2 linked regions of the Mytilus edulis genome follow. The protein of the gene in region 2 interacts with the protein of the main gene of each other region in a pairwise test. Links are inferred from orthologs where the notes say so. Each region holds a gene or a part of one and is shown on either strand. Other genes may lie near its edges.

Region 1 (10,005 bases), on a different chromosome or scaffold from region 2:
CAAATATATACTAGTTCAGTGATGAACGCCATACTAATTTCCAAATTGTACACAAGAAACTAAAATAAAAATAATACAAGATTAACAAAGGCCAGAGGCTCCTGACTTGGGACAGGCACAAAAATGCGGCGGGGTTAATTAAACATGTTTATGAGATATCAACAATGTTCTTTATTTTATAAGTCTTATTCCACTGGCCGTGAAAAACTTAATTATGGAGCAGGATGCTTGGTTTTCTTATTTCAAAAATTTAAATGAAAAAGACACTAATGCATCCTGTGATCATTTAAAAGATAAGCTAAAAGACATGGAAAGAGAAAAAATATTTACTGAACTTGATAATTTGATTTCAAAAGCAGAAATAGAAAAGGCGATTAGTACACTTAAAAATAAAAAAGCAAGTGGTTTCGACTCAATTTTAAATGAAATGTTAAAGTCCAGTCAAACATGAGTCTTGTTTTCAAAAATTGTTTAATAGTATCTTAAACTCAGGATATTTTCTCAAAATTTGGACAAAAGGATATATTAATAGTTCCTTTATTTAAAAGTGGTTCAAAAGATGATCCTTCAAAGACCCTCTTCAAATTGTAGAGGAATTACCATTGGAAATTGTTTAGGCAAGTTATGTGTGGAAATTTTAAATATTCGTTTAGAGAAGGTTTTGGCAAGTAGAAATATTATTAAACCGGAACAAATTGGTTTCTGTAAAGGCAAGCGCACCAGTGATCATCATTTAGTTTTGAGAACTCTTATAAAAAAGTATACTCAACAAGGCAATAAAAAATTCTTTACATGCTTTGTTGACCTACGAAGAGCCTTTGATACTGTTAATCATGATGGACTTTTTTTATAAACTGAGAAATATTGGAGTCAGTGATTTATTTTATAACACTCAGATATGTATAATAATATTGAGCTAGTGTAAAGGTAGACAAATATTCTATGACTGAAAACTTTACATCTAACATAGGAGTCAAACAAGGGGATAATTTAAGCCCCACTTTATTTAAAATTTTTATAAATGATATTCTTGACTCTTATGATGAGACCTGTAAACCTGCTTACAGCTTAATTGCTTATTGTATGCAGATGACTTAGTAGTGATGTCAGAAACAGCTGATGGTCTACAGAGGTGTATTGATACACTATATAATTACTGTGATAAATGGGGACTCCAAATAAATATAAAGAAAACTAAATCAGTAGTATTTATTAAAACAGGAAAACTAGATGAACAAATATTTAATATTAATAATATACCTATTGAAAGGGCTAGGGGCTATAAATATTTAGGAATTTATGTGAGTGCAAGTGGAAGCTTTACAGAGGCTAAAGATGATTTATAGAAAAGGGGATTGAAAGCTTTATTTAAATATTAAAACAGTTTTAACTTATATAAACCTAAAATTAACACACTTTCACATATATTTGATCATACTGTGAAACCTGTGTTGTTATATGGGAGTGAAATATGGGGATCTTCAGTAATAAATAAACTATATTAAAATGAACATGATCTTTTTAAAATATGCAAGGACATGAAACAAGAAAGTATTCATGTCAAATTCTGTAAATTTTCTTTGGGTTTAGGTAAAAAATCTACAAATATAGCTGTATTGGGTGAAATGAGAAGATATCCCTTATTTCTTTAAGTAATTTTCAATATGTTTAGATATTATAAAAATATATTAAAGTCTGATCAGGCGCGGATCCAGAGGGGGGGGGGGGTTCTGGGGGTTGGAACCCCCCCTTTTTGGACGATCAATGCATTTGAATGGGGGCATGTAGTTGGAACCCCCCTCCTTTGTCCTGGGTTAGGAACCCCCCTTTTTAAAATGGCTGGATCCGTCCCTGCTGATTATATCCTTCTCTCTGAAGCCCTGAATGTCTCTAGATCACTAAATAGTTTAAACAAAAATAGTTGGTATAGTTGTATTGCTGTTCTTATGAAATATCTTGATATAGATCTTAAACTTGTTAAAAATTCAAAGAAGGATTTAAAATCCCTAATTTACCAGAAATTAAAACAGAAATATTCTTGTATTTGGAAATCTGAACTTTACAATGATAGACAAAATAAACAGCATGGAAATAGACTAAGAACTTACAGATTATTTAAAGAAAATATTTATATGGAAAAATACTTATTAATTTTAAATGAGGATGAAAGGCGACTGCTCACTAAGTTCAGAGTCAGTGCACATAAATTAGAAATTGAAAGAGGCAGATATGTGGGGCTTCGAGTGGAGGATAGAATATGTAAATTATGTAACACTGAAGTTGAAGATGAAATTCATTTTCTTCTTCAGTGTCCTGTTTTAGAAAATAAAAGATCTGAATATATAGATTACTTAAATAAGGTTAACAAAAACTTTAAAAGACTCCCAAATAAATCAAAATTAATATGGTTTATGCAAGGATTTGTACAAATCCTTAGTTTATGTCATCTGAAGATAATGTTATAATTAAAAAAGTAAGTTTATTATTGTGTACTTTATTCAAAGAGAGAAAATCAATTATAGATACAGTTTAGTCACCGGTAGTTTGTCCATCTATATTATATTGTAAAACTATATATATTTCTGCAGAAATTATTTGGTTGAAAATACTTGACTTTGTTTAATTGTTAAATAATCAATGTAATCAATATGTAATCACTTGTATGAAATTGAACTTAATTGTACTGCTCAAATTATTGGGCGTCATAATTGACAATAAAAAACTTTGTATTGTATTGTATATGTTACAGTAAATAGGTGAAATTAGGAATTACATGTAATTACTAAAATTTAGGAATTACATGTAATCCCCGATGTACTTAGTAAATACAAGTAATTCCTGAAACGGCCCAGTTATTACCAGTAATTACTAATTTTAAAATGAATTTTTACACCTATTTACTAACTGTTAAAACAATGTTGTAATATGGTAAGCTGATCAAAAGTTATGGGAATTCTAGCTATAGAATATTCACTCTGTGGTTAAAGTTTTTGAAATTTTAATACCTTTCTTAAACTATACTGGATTTCTACGAAACTTGGACAGAAGCTTGTTTATGATCATAAGAAAGTATCCAGAAGTAAATTTTGTAAAAATAAAATTCCATTTTTTCCGTATTTTACTTATAAAGGGACTTAGTTATTCTGCGAGGAAACATTACATTCACTCTGTGGTTAAAGTTTTTAAAATTTTAATAACTTTCATATAAACTATCCATGATTTGTACCAAACTTGGACAGAAGCTTGTTTATGATCATAAGATAGTATCAAGAAGATAATTTTGTAAAAATAAATTTCCACTTTTCCGTATTTTACTTATAAATGGACTTAGTTTTTTTGCCAGAAACAAAACATTCATTCTGTGGTTTAAGTTTTTAAAATTTTTATAATGTTCTTAAACTATCCTGGATTTCTACCAAACTTGGACAAAAGCTTGTTTGTGATCATAAGATATTATTCAGAAGTAAATTTTGTAAAATAAAATCCACTTTTTCCGTATTTTACTTATAAATGGACTTAGGTTTTCTTCCAGTTAACATTACATACCGTCTGCAGTTAAAGTTTATAAAACATTTATTAGATTCATAAACTATCCTGGATTTTTACCAAATTTGGAAGCTCTTTCAATAAAAAAAACAGTATCGAGAGGGAAATTTTTGTTGTTGTTTTTCCTCATTTTTGTTGAGTCTGCAATTAACAGCAAACTGAGTAGGCGAGACACTGGGTTCCGCGGAACCCTTACGAATTTTTTTGTTTGTTAAATCATTAATGAAAATTATATAGGGAAATTATAATTCACTTTTAGCAGTCAATCTGGTTCTATTTTACTAAAATAAGCAGAGAAACATGGTTGATGATTTTTGCACTTGCAAGTGAATAATTGGACCTCATGTGAACTTCAATTCAACACCTAGCTGAAGATAGGTTACCGATGTATTCAGATTTAAAATTGTAAGGGTTTCGCAGAACCCAGTATCTCGCCTACTTTAGCTGTTAGTCGCAGGCTCAACAAAAATGGGGGGAAAATATCAAATATTTTGACTAGTGCTGTAAGAAGCTTCTGTCTTAATTTGGTTAAAATCCAGGATGGTTTATGAAATCTAATAAATGTTTAAAAAAACTTTAATCGCAGACTGTATGTAATGTTAAGTGGGGGAAAAAAGTCCATTTATAAGGAATATACCAAAAGGGATTTTTTACTTTGTATATTATCTTATGATCATAAACAAGCTTCTGTCCAAGTTTGGATATTCTGAGAAAGTTATAAAAAAATTTAAAACTTTAACCACAATGTGAATGTAATGTTAACTGGCATATATAAGTCCATTTATAAGTAAAATACGGAAAAACTTAATGTTATTTTCACAAAATTTACTTCTTGAAAATTATCTCATAATTACAGTCAAGCTTCTGTTCACGTTTGGTAGAAATCCAGGATAATTTAAGAAAGTTATCAAAATTTGAAGACCTTTAACCACATAGTGAATACTTGTGAATGTTACTGACGACAGAATAGTTTGCTGTGTCTCGCTTTTGCGACAATGGTCGCAGGCTCGACAAAAAGAAACATAATCATAATGACAACATTGAAAGAAAATCAAAAGGAATGGCTTATTCAATCCACAACAGATTTTTCTTATACAGATAAAAACGGTAATAAAATTTTGTTGCAGGTATATAAGCTGGAGTTTTGAGTTCTTGAAAAACTCATAAAAAAGAGAAACACAAAAATATGAAATGTGACCCTTAACACCATCAAATTGTATAAATTTGTTTGTGAAGAATGTCAGCTTTATCACGACAGTCTGACAAAAGAAGTCGTAAATAAAACTATTTTATAAAAGGAATTTGACTTATGTCATTGGGCAAGTTTATATGCAACAACAACAACAAACAACAAATATTTTATTTGCCAATCACGGCGCCCAAAATGAGCAGAACAATTACAATGTTATTTTCAAACATAATGTAAAGTAAATTAAAAATAGGTTAAAAGGACATAATATGATTGATTTTGATTTAATTGATCAATATAAAATATTAAAGCAAATGAAGTAAGCAGAGTATGCCTGATGAAGATTGCAATATAAAGAAATTATGAGATTTTAAGAATTATTCAACCAAAATTGGCATTATCAAATGTTTATCATCAAAAAGAGCTGGCAAAGTTGACTATAAACTTCTCACAAATGTATATCTCAATTTTGGATTGATATCATTGTCTTGCATGCTGCAAATGATATTAAGGGAGTTTCAATACTTTTAAAACAACCATTTTTCAGTTTCAATTCACAACCACTAAAGGTGTGCCTTATATTCATTAATCCTTAATTAAGTCAGCCCTTAAATACCTACCCTTTTACTTTCTTATTTTGTATCTTGGATTATATCTTTAATTTTAAAACAAAAATATCAAGTTAGTAAATAGCTGTAAAAATGACAAAAAAAATCAGTGAATACCAGTAATCACTGAAACAACTAGTAAATACATGTAATTACTAAATTGGCTAGTAATTACAGGTATTTACTGAAATGTTTAGTAATTACGTGTGATTCCTAATTTCACCTATTTACTGTAACATATACACGTCAAAACCCGGAAACACAACATAACTGTCCGAACTTGATCCTACCCAATAAAAGAACCGGATGTAGTGATTGCGCAAGATCGACAATTTACTACACGTGAGTTTGCAGAAGCTTTTTCTGTATTCCAGTCCAAGAAGGTTTTGGACCTGAATTAAACATGTCGTGGCTGTTTGGTACAAATAAGGGACAGAATATTCAACCACCACAAATCCCCTACCCGCCCGCACCACCAGATGGCGATGACAAGGGAGGAAAAGATGGATCTCAGTCGAAAATGGATGCATACCGATTTGACTCTGCAGCCCTGGAAAGAGCAGCAAAAGCAGCTAAGGAATTGGAAGCTACAAGTAAGAACACGTTAAGTGTCATCCCTAACACTTGTATGACATATTGGTTTGATAAATAATGAATGCAACCATTACAAATTGCTGATGAAACAATGTCCTTGAAATCGAAGGTTACATAAAATCTCATTAGCCAATAGGCCATTTTATCTTACTATACTCTATAGTGTAAATGTTCCCAGTCTGATCATGTCAATTTTTAAATCTGTACTTGAAGTGGTGCATGTCATAATTATGTTGCTGTAGAGTACTCACCAGGCAATGATTATGCAGTGGTGGGTCCAGAATTTTTTATGAGTGGTCAATGAACTAACTTAACCCTCTTGTTGCAGACCGTTTTTCAAGGTTGCATTTCATGTGCCAGGAAATATGACAGCTCAACGTCTGTGACGTAACATGCCAAACAACTTCATTCGGTATATGACATCACAACATAATGGCTGTTACATTTGGGACCCATTGAACAAAAACAAAGCACAGTTTGATCTTGGATCTTATAATTGAAAGAGACGATGTGCTTGCATAAATTTAACTTTGGACATTTGTGTCACTCCTGCACAGCCGGAGTATACTCCTGAGTATAATCCCTCTGGCAGCAAGAGGGTTAAAAGGGAGGGGCGCTCCAATCATGTTAAAAGTGGTTCTCTATAATTGTCTTAACTTTTCACCAGAAAAGTCATGCCTTACTGAGATGTCATTATGCTGAGAAGCCATTTTCTTTAGGTTTGGATTTTGAGAGGGAATTTTCATTCAACTTTGAAACCAAATTTAACCGTAAAAATTTTTATTGACGGCAAACAAAAATTGCCTATACATCATGTACGTAAAATCATACTTTTATGCATTTATTAGTGCATTAAATTTTCAATAACTTCCCAAAGTAATGATAAATTAATTCTTGTAATCATGGTAATCATGGTATTGTATATTTGGGTGTACTGTGAATATTTAATAAACATGATACAAAAATCTATATGACAGTTTCTATGATATGATATTTTTTCTTCAGAACACTCCAAAGAAGCATTGGAATTATCTAAAATGCAAGAGACAACTTTACAACTTGAAAATCAAAAGAAGCTTAAGGTATTGTGGAATTTTGTCTATTGTCTAATACATGAGATTTATCATGTTTATGTGTTCTTAGATATAAGAAGATGTGGTATGAGTGCCAATGAGATCTCCCCATAAGTCATAATTTGTAAAAGTAAACCATTATAGGTCAATGTACAGACTTAAACACAGAGCCTTGGCTTACACCTAAAAGCAAGCTATAAAGGGCCACAAAAATGACTAGTGTAAAACCATTCAAACAAGAAAATCAACATTCTAATCTGTATAAAAAAAAAAGTAACAAGAAACATTTACGAACCTCATTAACAAACGACAACCACTGAAAATCAACTGTACATTTGATGAGCTGGTTAGTGGTAACAGTTTTTGTAAGACACAGGAAAATCATAAAATAAGTTTTTAAAAACAGTATAAAACATTCAAAACTTTGCTAATGATATATATATATTACATGTAGTGTGTCACAAAACATGAAATATTCAATTGAAAAATTAAAAATCTGTTAAAAGTTTCTTTTAAACATACATTATGTACATGTAACATGTCATGTGTACATGGTGTATGGATACTGTTAATTTAATATCCATGATGTCATGCTAAAATTGAAATGCTGGATTAACTACAAATTTTCATTAAAATCTTCTAATATGGTTATGCTTTGCACAACAATGCATATACATCCTTGCTTTTGAGAGGAAATCTTGGTGCTTAGTGTTGCCTCGTCCAACTCACAGTTTTTATGCAGTTCAATAAGTTTCTGTTAGATAGCATTCAAAATATTTCCATTTATATGATTATCATGTATAAATATTTTATAAGATATTGCCTGCCAAGCCAATCCTGTTCTAAACTACCATCAGGGTTTCCCTTGGGTCAATTATTTTTTTCGCCACGTCTTTCGCCAAAACAATATATTTTTCCCCACTTTATTATTTTTTTCGCCAAGTAACATAACTATATTTTTCGTTTAAAATTTTCCTTTTTTTCTTATCCCCTCCCCCCTTTTGCCTTAAATAAGTTGATTTTGTCCCATTGTGTCTATGATTATTCTGTCAAACTTATTTTAGAGTCTACATTTAATGAATAAACACTAAACATTTACTTTAAAACAACAGATTTTGTTTTTAACATAAAAGGGAAAAATATTTATTGTATTTTAAACAACTTTTAACCTGAGATCACCCTTAGTTTTTTGTGGAGTTCGTGTTGTTTATTCTTTAGTTTTCTATGTTGTGTCATGTGTACTATTGTTTTTCTGGGGTTTTTTTTCATTTTTAGCCATGGCATTGTCAGTTTGTTTTAGATTTATGAGTTTGACTGTCCCTTTGGTATCTTTCGTCCCTCTTTCTAAATGAGGGGGCCACTATACTTTTAATAATAAAGAAGATATAAGTCCTGGAATACAACAAAATTAATGGACATGTTTTGATTATATAATACCAGTATAGTTCGTAGGGAAAGTTTCTTTAAAAGAAAAATATTGATGTGCCCTTTTGTACTAAGAAGTGGTTTTTACAACAAAACAAAAGCTTTTATCACATGATATTTTGATCCCTCATTTCATGTGTAGTCATAACATTGAAGGGCTACTCTCATTCGAGGGGTTGTTCCCAACCTTTTGGATAGATTTCTTCATAACAACAGTTTTCTCTTCTTGACCATCGTAAATGAAAAGGTTGAGACGTAAAACTATGCTTGAAACACACGTGTCACTCAAACGACTTTAAAGTACTCTCCCTAATCAATTACCTATGTTAAAGTCAAAGGATAGTTAAAGTTTTAAATCGGAGATTTTTCTTGCTTTTGAAAATTTTTCGTCACAACAACAGCTTTCTTTTCTAAACTATCTTTAAAAGGAGAGGAGACGTCAAAAGTTTGCTTCAAACACGTGCGTCGCAAAGTGGTAAATAAATTCTGTATTTGACATTAGCGGAAGACATTTAACCATATCATTTTGTCAAACAATTCAATCAACACCTTTATTAATTAGTCCTTTGTTGTCGATAGCTATCAAATGCAATCAAATGCAATCAGCTGATTATTGATTTTCTGTCCAAATCGTAATAAGGTCAAGGTGAATTCCGAGTATTGTCTGATCGGGTAAAGTCAGAGCAAATTGCGAAAATGACGACCGCCAGCGGAAACCCTGACTACCATAGTACTGCCTCAAAACACCTATATATAGTTTTAACTTTTAAAAACTTGATTCATTTTTGTGTATTTTCCATTTGTTATTTTTGAATTGACTCTTATATTTAGGAAATGGAAGGCCAAATAGAACAGCTGAAAATAGAGCAAGCAAGAGTTGCACAAGAGGAAAGAAGAAAGACATTAGTTGAAGAAACAAAACAACATCAGCAGAGAGCTCAATTCCAGGATCAGTTGGCACGGAAACGCTATGATGATCAGTTATCACAACAAGTAAGGAAACTCGTGAAAACCTGAGTATGTTCTCCCTACCTTTGTAGCATTCACTGTCAGATCTACTTTTCAATGATTTCTTAACATAGTAATTGATATTTTATTCTGATATGAACATTCTATCAAGCATACCTGTGTTTTAACATAATAATGTATAAATTGAAATTAAAAAGCCCGACCTGGCATAACAAAGAAAATTCAGTGCTAAGGTTTTTGGTCATTTATTAAATGTTTAACTGTTTCTGCAGTAAAAACAAAACAAAAATTTATAAGAATAAGGTTATATACCATTATATTTTCTCAACATTTTAGCAGAAACACAGATTTTGTTTTTCTTTAATGCTTTCAAGCTTTCTATTTTACATTCCGTATCTGCAATGCAAGACTATGGTTAATACAAGAAAATGGGATATTTAAGTGAAATAACAAAAACGTACTTTGAATAGAAGAATGTTAAAAAAAAAATCAGGAAACAGATCACAACTCTATGATCATGATGATAATTGATTAATAAATACACATAAGGTAATCCTGTACTAATGTATCAGTTTAAGCTTGTTGTTTGATAATGAAAGGT
Region 2 (9,568 bases):
GGTTTTCCCAGTATTTCTCACTGGGCTGGGCAATACTCATAAAACCCGGGTTTTTGTCAACCCTGTGTCAGAGACATTGATGAAATCTCATGAAAATCTGGAAAGAATTGTTCACATAAAAGTTCTCATTAGGTAATTTGCCATATAATTAATATCTAAGGGGTATAACTCTTAAAAATAATTGATTGTTATACTTGTCAAAGACATTGCTTATAAGTTGCAAAAAATTCTGGCAAGAATTGTACACATGAGAGTGCTGATATTGCAATTTTCCATATAATCAATCTTTCCAAGGGACATAACTTTTTTATACAATAATTGATCAGCACTGATTTTCAAACTTGTTCAAGACATTACTGAAATGAACCTATGATATGCAAAAACTGTACACATGACAGCCCTAACAAGGTGGAGCGGAAGTTCAGACCCTCATCATTTCACACAATGAGTTCAAGAAGGGACAATAACCTAATAGATACAGCACACAGTTACATTAAAAGACTATGTTGGCTCCCCAGAAGCACTCTTTAGTTTAGGAATTGCTGATACATGTATTAAGATAATGGTGAGTAACTTGTGTACAAGGATATATCTCTACTTACTGGTGGTGGAAGAGTGTTGTCAATGTCATCTTCATGGTATGTGCTAACAACTGGTGGTTTGACAGGGGATACAGAAGCTAATGTCTTTGGTTCAACCTGTCTATTTTGTAACTCTGGTGGAGGGGGAGGTAACTCTTCATCAGGAGGTGACACAGTTTTCTAGAAGCATAAATTTGCAAAATAAAACTTCTGAAAGTCAGATATTTATTGGTATAAAATGAATTGTAGATTGATCTCTAGGGCTTATTGTTATTTTACTTTACACAGTACTCAGGAGTACAAAATATTTGCTTGAAACAACAAATTTCTGTATTTTGATTGGTTGATTTCTGAGTTCGACTATCCTGCTTGAAATTTTAATGATCACCAAAATCAATCACAACCTTACTTTTGTGGTGTGAATCTATACACTTATATTCAAGATATTGTCAGGAAACAAAAAGTCTTTTGACAATATTGCTGACAACAAATGCATGTACTTATGCAAAAATTTTGCTGTCATATACAAATTTTATTTGAAATGCAACTGTAAAACACACTTGACAATTTGATCTGTGTAGCTATGCATATGCCCTTCACTTAATAAGACAGCTTTGCTAATTTGAATCAACTTCTATAAATTATGTAAAACAAATAAGATAGAATTTTGTCTCAATTTTGCCAAGCCTCTGGCATGTTTAAGGCTGTACTTAGACCTATTATTGTGAACTTTTTATACATAGTGACTTGGATTGAAGGTTGTCTCATTAACACTCGTACAATATCTTCTTATTCATATCATCTTAAATGGGTAACATATTGAGATTATAATATTAATATTTGAGCTTTCTGCAAAATCATGAATTAACATTTCTAGGTACAATAACAACCTCAAGTTTAGGAAGAGCATTGGTGATAGGTGGTTCTCTCTCCCACTTGTTAGCTATCTGTAAGGTCTCCAATGTCTTCTGTTGTATAGATTTTGAGTCATCTAACAATGTATACTCATAAAACTCTTGTATGTCTGAAAACAGAAGTTAGTATCATTTTCAATTAGCTCCATTTATACCAGATACATTTTTTTTTTATTCTAATGTGATAGTACATTATGTAACATTTAAATAGGTTAAAACCATGAACATAATTTTAGCCTCTGTACATGCCAAATTCAGTACTACAGTCCTTGCTTTGTTAAGCAAAGTATAAAACCATTATTATAAATTTGTAATGCAGTAATTATAACTAATACTAAATCAGTAACTTTGTGCAAATCACTTGTTATTGAAATGCAATAATATTCAGTTTTTATATACATGTAGATAATAATAAAGGCCTTAATCATTGCGTATCATGCAAACTAAGTTAATGTGGATCATGTGCATGTACCTTATGTAAAAATGTTGTATTCCAAAAATTGAGCCAATCACTCTGTCTTAAATAAAAGAAGAACTTCCACCTTAAATATTAATTTTACATACCAAGAAGTGCCTGAAATAGGCGACTTTTGAAAATTCTTATGACTTTCTCTATAGCAACCTTGAGCTGGGTGTCTTGTGGAAGACTAAGCCTGGAATGGTAGTCCTCTAACAATTCTAAAGCCCTGTGGGCATCTATGAAAAGAAGAGAAAAAAGAAAAATGCAAAATTGTATTAAACATCTTGTTCGAAAGCAACATTCACCTGTTCGCAGTAACCTCTTCATTTTCAAAGACATAAACAATCAGCCTCAGGTACATGTATCCAGGAAAGCGTAAACCAAAAGATGAAGCTTTCACTGAATACATGTATGTAATCACTAGCACTTACATGAAGTAACAAAAAAATTAGATATTTTGAGAAATTTGCATGTGCATGTAAATTTTTCATAAATCAGATAAGGACTATTCAATTTCAGAAAAAAAGTCAGGCATATTTCCTGAATTTGTTTCATTTTAGTTATAAAATGTTGAATTTGAAAATAAGTTAAAACACTAAAATAGTATAAGATTTAAATTTACTACACGAGCCGTTACTTAAGCATTTTTTAAGTGGTGTGTATAAATTTAAAAGACTATAGCTAGAACATATCAAGAACGCAGATGGGCCAAGTTACAATGGGATATTTTATTTTGCAAGTGGGAGAGAGTTTGAGAACAGTTTCTCACAGACAATATACTTTTTAATTTCTCATATATATTATTAATGGTACAATTTTTTTTAATCGAGGCGATGGTTTGGCCAGTTTGTGCATATAAAAAAGAAGATATGGTATGATTCACTAATATTGCCAATGAAACAACTCTCCACAAGAGATCAAATGACACAGAAATTAACAATTATACACGTAGGTCTTGTTTTCACTAGATTTATAACTCAATTTAAATGTTTCTTTTTTTTGTTTTTTTTTATCTACCTCAATAACATTGTATTTCTGCTGATTGACTCTCTCACACAGAGAACATTGATGAGAACATGTTTTAATCATAAAAGGAATTCAGGTTCTCACAGTAGAGAAAATCTTTCATGGGGAGCAAATGAATTATTTGAGTTAATTCATCAAGAAGATGCATGTTAACTTTTATAGTAAAGCAAAAGCCTTTGCAGTCTTCACGCCGAGTGGCAGCTCAGGCTGGTAAAACTGGTAAAATTTCTCTCAGGCCTGAAAAAATCAGACCTACAGACCAACAGAAACTAACTAAAAAATTTCAAAAATTAAGCTGCGGGCCTGTAAATTTAGCAGTTCAGCGTGAAGACTGTTTTTTGTTGTTGTAATTTTAGAACCAGGGTTAGTTTGCACTTATACCTGTTTGCCCAGATTTTTGTTTTTTATATTGTTGTCTAGTTGCACTATCATGTTCATATAATATTTGAACATGAACAAAGTATGTTACTTTATGTGGAAAAATTTGCTAAAATATTTGTATTGCTGCAACCAAATATTTTCCTTTAGTCTGCATAGTAGAATTTTGGAATACAATGTATTTATCTTTTAATATTGATATCTTTTACAATTTTAATAATTCTAGTCAGTCAATTTATATTATATTATAATGAATGAACTTATGTTTTACAATTCCTACACAATTGTTTTTACTCATTTCAAATTTCAAGCTGACTAAATTATCAAAACAAAATGTTGTTTTTATTATTCATCCATCAAAGACAATTAATTATTATGACAAGCAGTGAGAGATATAGTATTAAGAACAATTACAATTCTCACAAACACGCCATTAATTTTAAATATTTTCATGTGTTTTCATTTATACTAGAATTTATATACCATATAAATATCTGAATAAGTATATTCAACTTTGACACCCTCATACAAATATTTTTCAATAAAAGAATGGAGAAGTTTAATATCCAGGGCGTACAGACTCTATGGGGAAATAGACTCAGGGTGAACAGTCCCTGGGCAAGCATCCTATCAGGGCTAACGGACACAATACCATATATTTACTGCACATTAAGACTGTTTTATTTATGAATTTCAACCTACAGTTGTTCTTTTTTGACATAAGGTCTATGTGATTGAAAAGATAATAAGCAATAATTTGTTGACCAGATATCCCAGATATATTACAATAGTGACTATTGTAATATATAACGTGGTTATAACAATGTGCCTTTTATACACTGATTATATACATATTCATGATAAACAGGAATGCAATGCACCTTGTTTTCTGACCGGCATGTCTTGCGAAAAGCTGGTGTTCTTGTGCTCACACCCACTTCGTGGTTTGCAAGATTCTGTCTATTATTATTTAAGCAATCGCTAGGATGTGATTAATTTATGGCAAACACATTTGTTGCAGTGATTTTTATCTCTTAATTTTATGCAGGATTATTGTTTGGCGACACTTCACGATAATCAGGAAACGACCACAAACAGGAAACAGCAAAGATGGCGGCTATTCAAAACTAATAAATCACGTGATTAAAGGGATCCGCTATTTCAGGATTGTTATACTTATTTTCTATTTATAATTTCCAAATGTTTTTATATTTTGTGAAAATTCAAAATGTTTGTTTCAAAATGGATTTTTTTTGTAGTGTTTACAATGAACGGTGAGCTTAACCAATATAATAATCTTAAAAAATTGATTCCTCCTGAGGCTCAAATCCGAAATTCCGAAAGAACGAAACATGGAGGTGTCCTCTTAGAGGTCCGCGTTTAGACTCACCCAAATACCAACACGACTTCTTTTAAACATGACAACAAATGAATTCTGAGCATAAGAGTCAGTTGATCTTAAACGATAAATATGTTTTATATTAGATAAAAACATGTTTTCGTATTTTTGATAAGGCAGCAACCATTTGATTTTCGGGGGGGGGGGGGGGGGGGGACAATTTTTTTTTTGCCTGCTGCGAAAAACAATCTATTTTTTTCACAGGTGCTTGAGGACAGGATCCTGTATGAGCCCCAAATAGTCCCTCCCCCTTTTTTTAAATTTTTTTTTTAATCATAAATCTCAGATTTGTCTATATATATCCCTTATTTGTACCATATATATACTAATATACCATATTTATACTATTGATAGTAAACATGCATATTTAGAGTATAAATATGGTATATTAGTATATATATGGTACAAATAAGGGATATATATAGAAAAATCTGAGATTTATGATTAAAAAAAAAAAATTTTAAAAAAGGGGGAGGGACTATTTGGGGCTCATACAGGATCCTGTCCTCAAGCACCTGTGATTTTTTTCGCGACAAGTCGAAAACATCTTTTTTCTTTCAATTTTAGCATTACATATAGTGGCAGCTGAGGGTGAAACAAACATTTTTTTTTTCTCAGAATCAAAAACAAATGATTTTTTTTCTCCAAAAAATGGAAACAAACTTTTTTTTCCAAAAAAAAACATAGCCCCCCCCCCCCCCCCCCCCAGAAAATCAAATGCTTGCTGCCTTAGCAGAGAAGCCAATTCTATACACCTGATCGCTATTTAGTCCATTCCGGGAAAAACAGTCATTTATACAACTTCCTGTTTGGGTCACCGGCCAAAAAATGGAGGTCACCAGTAGTGAGCTGAGGGAGAAAAAAAATTAGAAAGTGATCATCAAGAAACTTTGATATAGTATGATCCACTTTTTTCGAAATTAAAATTGAAGTAAAAAAAATATTTTGTTTGAAGTATTTACGGTAGTTTAAACAGGTCTCATTAAAAAGTATCATGCATGGTGAATTGTTTAAACAGGGTCCAAGATAGCTTCAACTGGATGAAAAAGTTGTGTAATTTTAGAACTTATCCGGAATGGAATAAATAGCGATTAGGTGTATTATATGGTAATGAGATGTGGAGTTTCTCGAAAAAGTAACCCCCAGATAATATTGCTTTTTTTTTTAATCTTGAGCAAAGAAAGTTGATTAAAAATATGTAACTGTTTATCACTGTGAACAAAAACATAAATATTGGTGGAATGGGAGAGGTTTGGCGTTATTCACTGTTCTAGAAACAATTCATGAAATGTTAGAGTACTGAAAATTGTGATACATTGTTATCTGCATCATTGTTGGAATCATCACAGTTACATGAGCAGGACAAATTTTCATGGCTAGGAATCATCCATTCAATTTTTATTTTTTTTTAATTATTCACTGACTGACTATTATAAATATGTGGTATGAGTGCCAATGAGACAACTCTCCATCCAAATAACAATTTATAAATGTAAACCATTATAGGTCCAGGTACGGCCTTCAACACAGAGCCTTGGCTCACACCGAAAAGCAAGCTATAAAGGGCACCAACAATTAGTAATGTAAAACCATTCAAACGGGAAAACCAACGGTCTAAGTTATATAAAAATGACTGATTGGATTAAAAAAAAAATTGTTATACAGGTAAAAACGATTATAAACATATGTTTTAAACCTACGATATTAATTCAAACAGACCTGAAAAAATACAATTGCACGAGTACTCAGTTCGCTATCTATTTTAAGTTAAATCGGGTTATATGATCGTCGGCAGTCTTCTGAGATTACCTCGATGCTTACTGATTAGATGGCATTTAGACTAAAATACACATGAAATATTGATACATATGATCGAGTCCGTGCATCGTCAATTGTGTAGTTTAAACTTTTTATTATTTGGGTATACGTTTTAGTATGTATAATTTAAATATGAGAATTTGAGTCAAATCAGTTAAAACTTTTAACAGCTAATTACCCTTTTATGCAAATGGTAAATGACATATATTCTTAATATCCAGCTAAGTCACATTACAAACAATTATGACATAAGGATAAATGGATCTGGACCACAATGAATATACACTTGGGCGGTCTACAACATAGCTGTGTGATTTCGGAGGATATGAAACAGCACAAAACTTCCTGATAGGGCGCCACTGTATAAACGGCACAAACCATGCGTTCCAGAAATAACGAAAGAACAAGTGGTACAAAAAAATCAACACGGCAACGTTACTCACACAGCGGGATGCAAATTGATCAAATTAAACCCGTTAAAAATTCGAAGCAGTTGCTGGTTCCATCCACCAGAAAAAGAAAATGGAAGAACAGCATTCTTGGCAGCAGACAACCGTTGAACCAAGAAGCACACAGAGAATATTACAGCTGTGCATGTCATAAATGTTTAGAGGTGTAAAAGCGTTGACCGAAGTACATTTTGTATGAAGCGAGGAAGGATCATGAAAACACGACTGTTAAAGTTTTTCTTTTATTTACCTGTGTACTTAATAGAAGTATCTCTTGTCATCACGAATGTTATATTTCCGATGATTTGGAAATTAAGGTTGATTTCTGAATGACGTGAGATTGCTGGTAGACAATAGGAATAACGTATCAAAATGAAACATACAGTCATGTACTGTAATTATTTCCATTTGAAGATTTCTGTATACAAACTGGATAGTGCATTACAACAGGCACGTATGCTGCAAGAAGAAGATATTGAAGAAGCACAAGAAGATGAAGAAGATATCTTTTGGTTAAAATTTGTACATGTTGTACACAACAAAGGTTTTATTTATATGTGAAGATGTTTGATGTGACTCAGATATTTGAATATTTTCTCGGATCTCCGAAACAGTCAAGTGTAGTTCAATTTAATAAAACTACATGCTAAAGGTTTCATTTTGATATTGTTCCATTGTTATATATTTTTTACCATTAATTGATATAATCGTCTGTTAAAAGTGTATAAATATTGCTTAGCTCCATACTATAATTCAATTGAGTATAAACAAGTATATAAGATGCAACAAATCCTCAATCATGCACCAACAATAAACTTTTCAAGCCTTGATAGAAACAAATGTACACAAATATAACAACTGGCAAACTTTCCAAGCCTTGATAGAAACAAATGTACACAAATATAACAACTGGCAAACTTTCCAAGCCTTGATAGAAACAAATGTACACAAATATATCAACTGGCAAACTTTTCAAACCTTGACAGAAACAAATGTACACAAATATATAACAACTGGCAAACTTGTCAAGCCTTGACAGAAACAAATGTACACAAATATAACAACTGGCAAACCCAACAATAAACTTTTCAAGCCTTGATAGAAACAAATGTGCACAAATATAACAACTGGCAAACTTTTCAAGCTTTGATAGAAACAAATGTACACAAATATAACAACTGGCAAACCCAACAATAAACTTTTCAAGCCTTGATAGAAACAAATGTACACAAATATAACAACTGGCAAACCAACAACAAACTTTTCAAGCCTTGATAGAAACAAATGTACACAAATATAACAACTGGCAAACTTTTCAAGCCTTGGTAGAAACAAATGTACACAAATATAACAACTGGCAAACCCAACAATAAACTTTTCAAGCCTTGATAGAAACAAATGTACACAAATATAACAACTGGCAAACCCAACAATAAACTTTTCAAGCCTTGATAGAAACAAATGTACACAAATATAACAACTGGCAAACTTTTCTAGCCTTGATAGAAACAAATGTACACAAATCATGACAACTGGCAAACTTCCCAAGCGTTATATATGCTTTTTAATTAACCGACTTAGTATACATTTTATTTGAGTTATTTGATTTTATTTGATTCGATCTTTCTCTGAATAAAGTCATACGCATGTCTTTCAAATGAACGTATGTGATAAAAATTTACGAAGCAAGAGTCTACTGAATAGACAAGTTCCTCAGCGGACTGTAATAGCACCAATACTCTCAGTTCTCCATGTTCTAGTATGATATTAACGACCTTCTTGGTAACAGTAAAATAAGACTCTTTGCAGACGACAGCATTATCTATCGGCATATAACCTACCAAAATGATTGCATTAAGCTTCAATTTAAGAAGACATCAAAGCAGCAATAAAACAAGAACGTGTCCAAAGTACACGGATGCCCCACTCGCACTATCATTTTCCATGTTCAATAGACCATGAAATTGGGTAAAATTAATCAAATTTGGTATTAAAATTAGAAAGATCATACCATAGGGAACATGTGTACTACGTTTCAGGTTGATTGGACTTCAACTTCATCAAAAACTACCTTGACCAAAAACTTTAACCTGAAACTCTCACTTTCATTTTCTATGTTCAGTGGACCGTAAAATTGGGGTCAAAAGTCTAATTTGGCTTTAAAATTAGAAAGATCATATTATAAGCAACAAGTGTACTAAGTTTCAAGTTGATTGGACTTCAGCTTCATCAAAAACTACCTTGACCAAAAACTTTAACCTGAAGCGGGACGGACGGACGGACGCACAGACAAGAAAACATAATGCCCCTCTCCTATCGGAGGTGGGGCATAAAAAGGAGGAAGACTGCAATGTATGGCACATATCATTCCACCCGGACAAATGTAACATCCTTAGAGTCTCAACAAAGAAAAAACAATTTCTATTACAACACGCATGGCTATTTCCTAGAACAAGAACAATCAGCAAAATATCTAGACATTACACTTCCTGCAGACATAAAAAAAAAAAAAAACAAAAAAAAAAAAAACACATACATACATA

What was found.
Region 1: the proteins of disks large homolog 1-like (region 2) and ATPase family AAA domain-containing protein 3-A-like interact in a two-hybrid assay, tested with the Caenorhabditis elegans proteins (3 studies listed by BioGRID). The link is inferred for Mytilus edulis from reciprocal best matches to the Caenorhabditis elegans genes dlg-1 and atad-3.

What each region holds. Positions count from the first base shown.
Region 1 is NC_092356.1:55,627,555-55,637,559, forward strand, and holds the start of ATPase family AAA domain-containing protein 3-A-like, read left to right. Parts: upstream 1-5,648; 5' UTR 5,649-5,746; coding exon 5,747-5,936; intron 5,937-6,942; coding exon 6,943-7,019; intron 7,020-9,266; coding exon 9,267-9,428; intron 9,429-10,005. UniProt on the Caenorhabditis elegans protein: Essential for mitochondrial network organization, mitochondrial metabolism and cell growth at organism and cellular level. Important during development for the up-regulation of mitochondrial activity during the transition to higher larval stages.
Region 2 is NC_092346.1:79,105,153-79,114,720, reverse strand, and holds the start of disks large homolog 1-like, read right to left. Parts: upstream 4,479-9,568; 5' UTR 4,260-4,478; coding exon 4,241-4,259; intron 2,192-4,240; coding exon 2,060-2,191; intron 1,606-2,059; coding exon 1,472-1,605; intron 762-1,471; coding exon 603-761; intron 1-602. UniProt on the Caenorhabditis elegans protein: Essential multidomain scaffolding protein required for normal development. Recruits channels, receptors and signaling molecules to discrete plasma membrane domains in polarized cells. Required for proper embryonic elongation.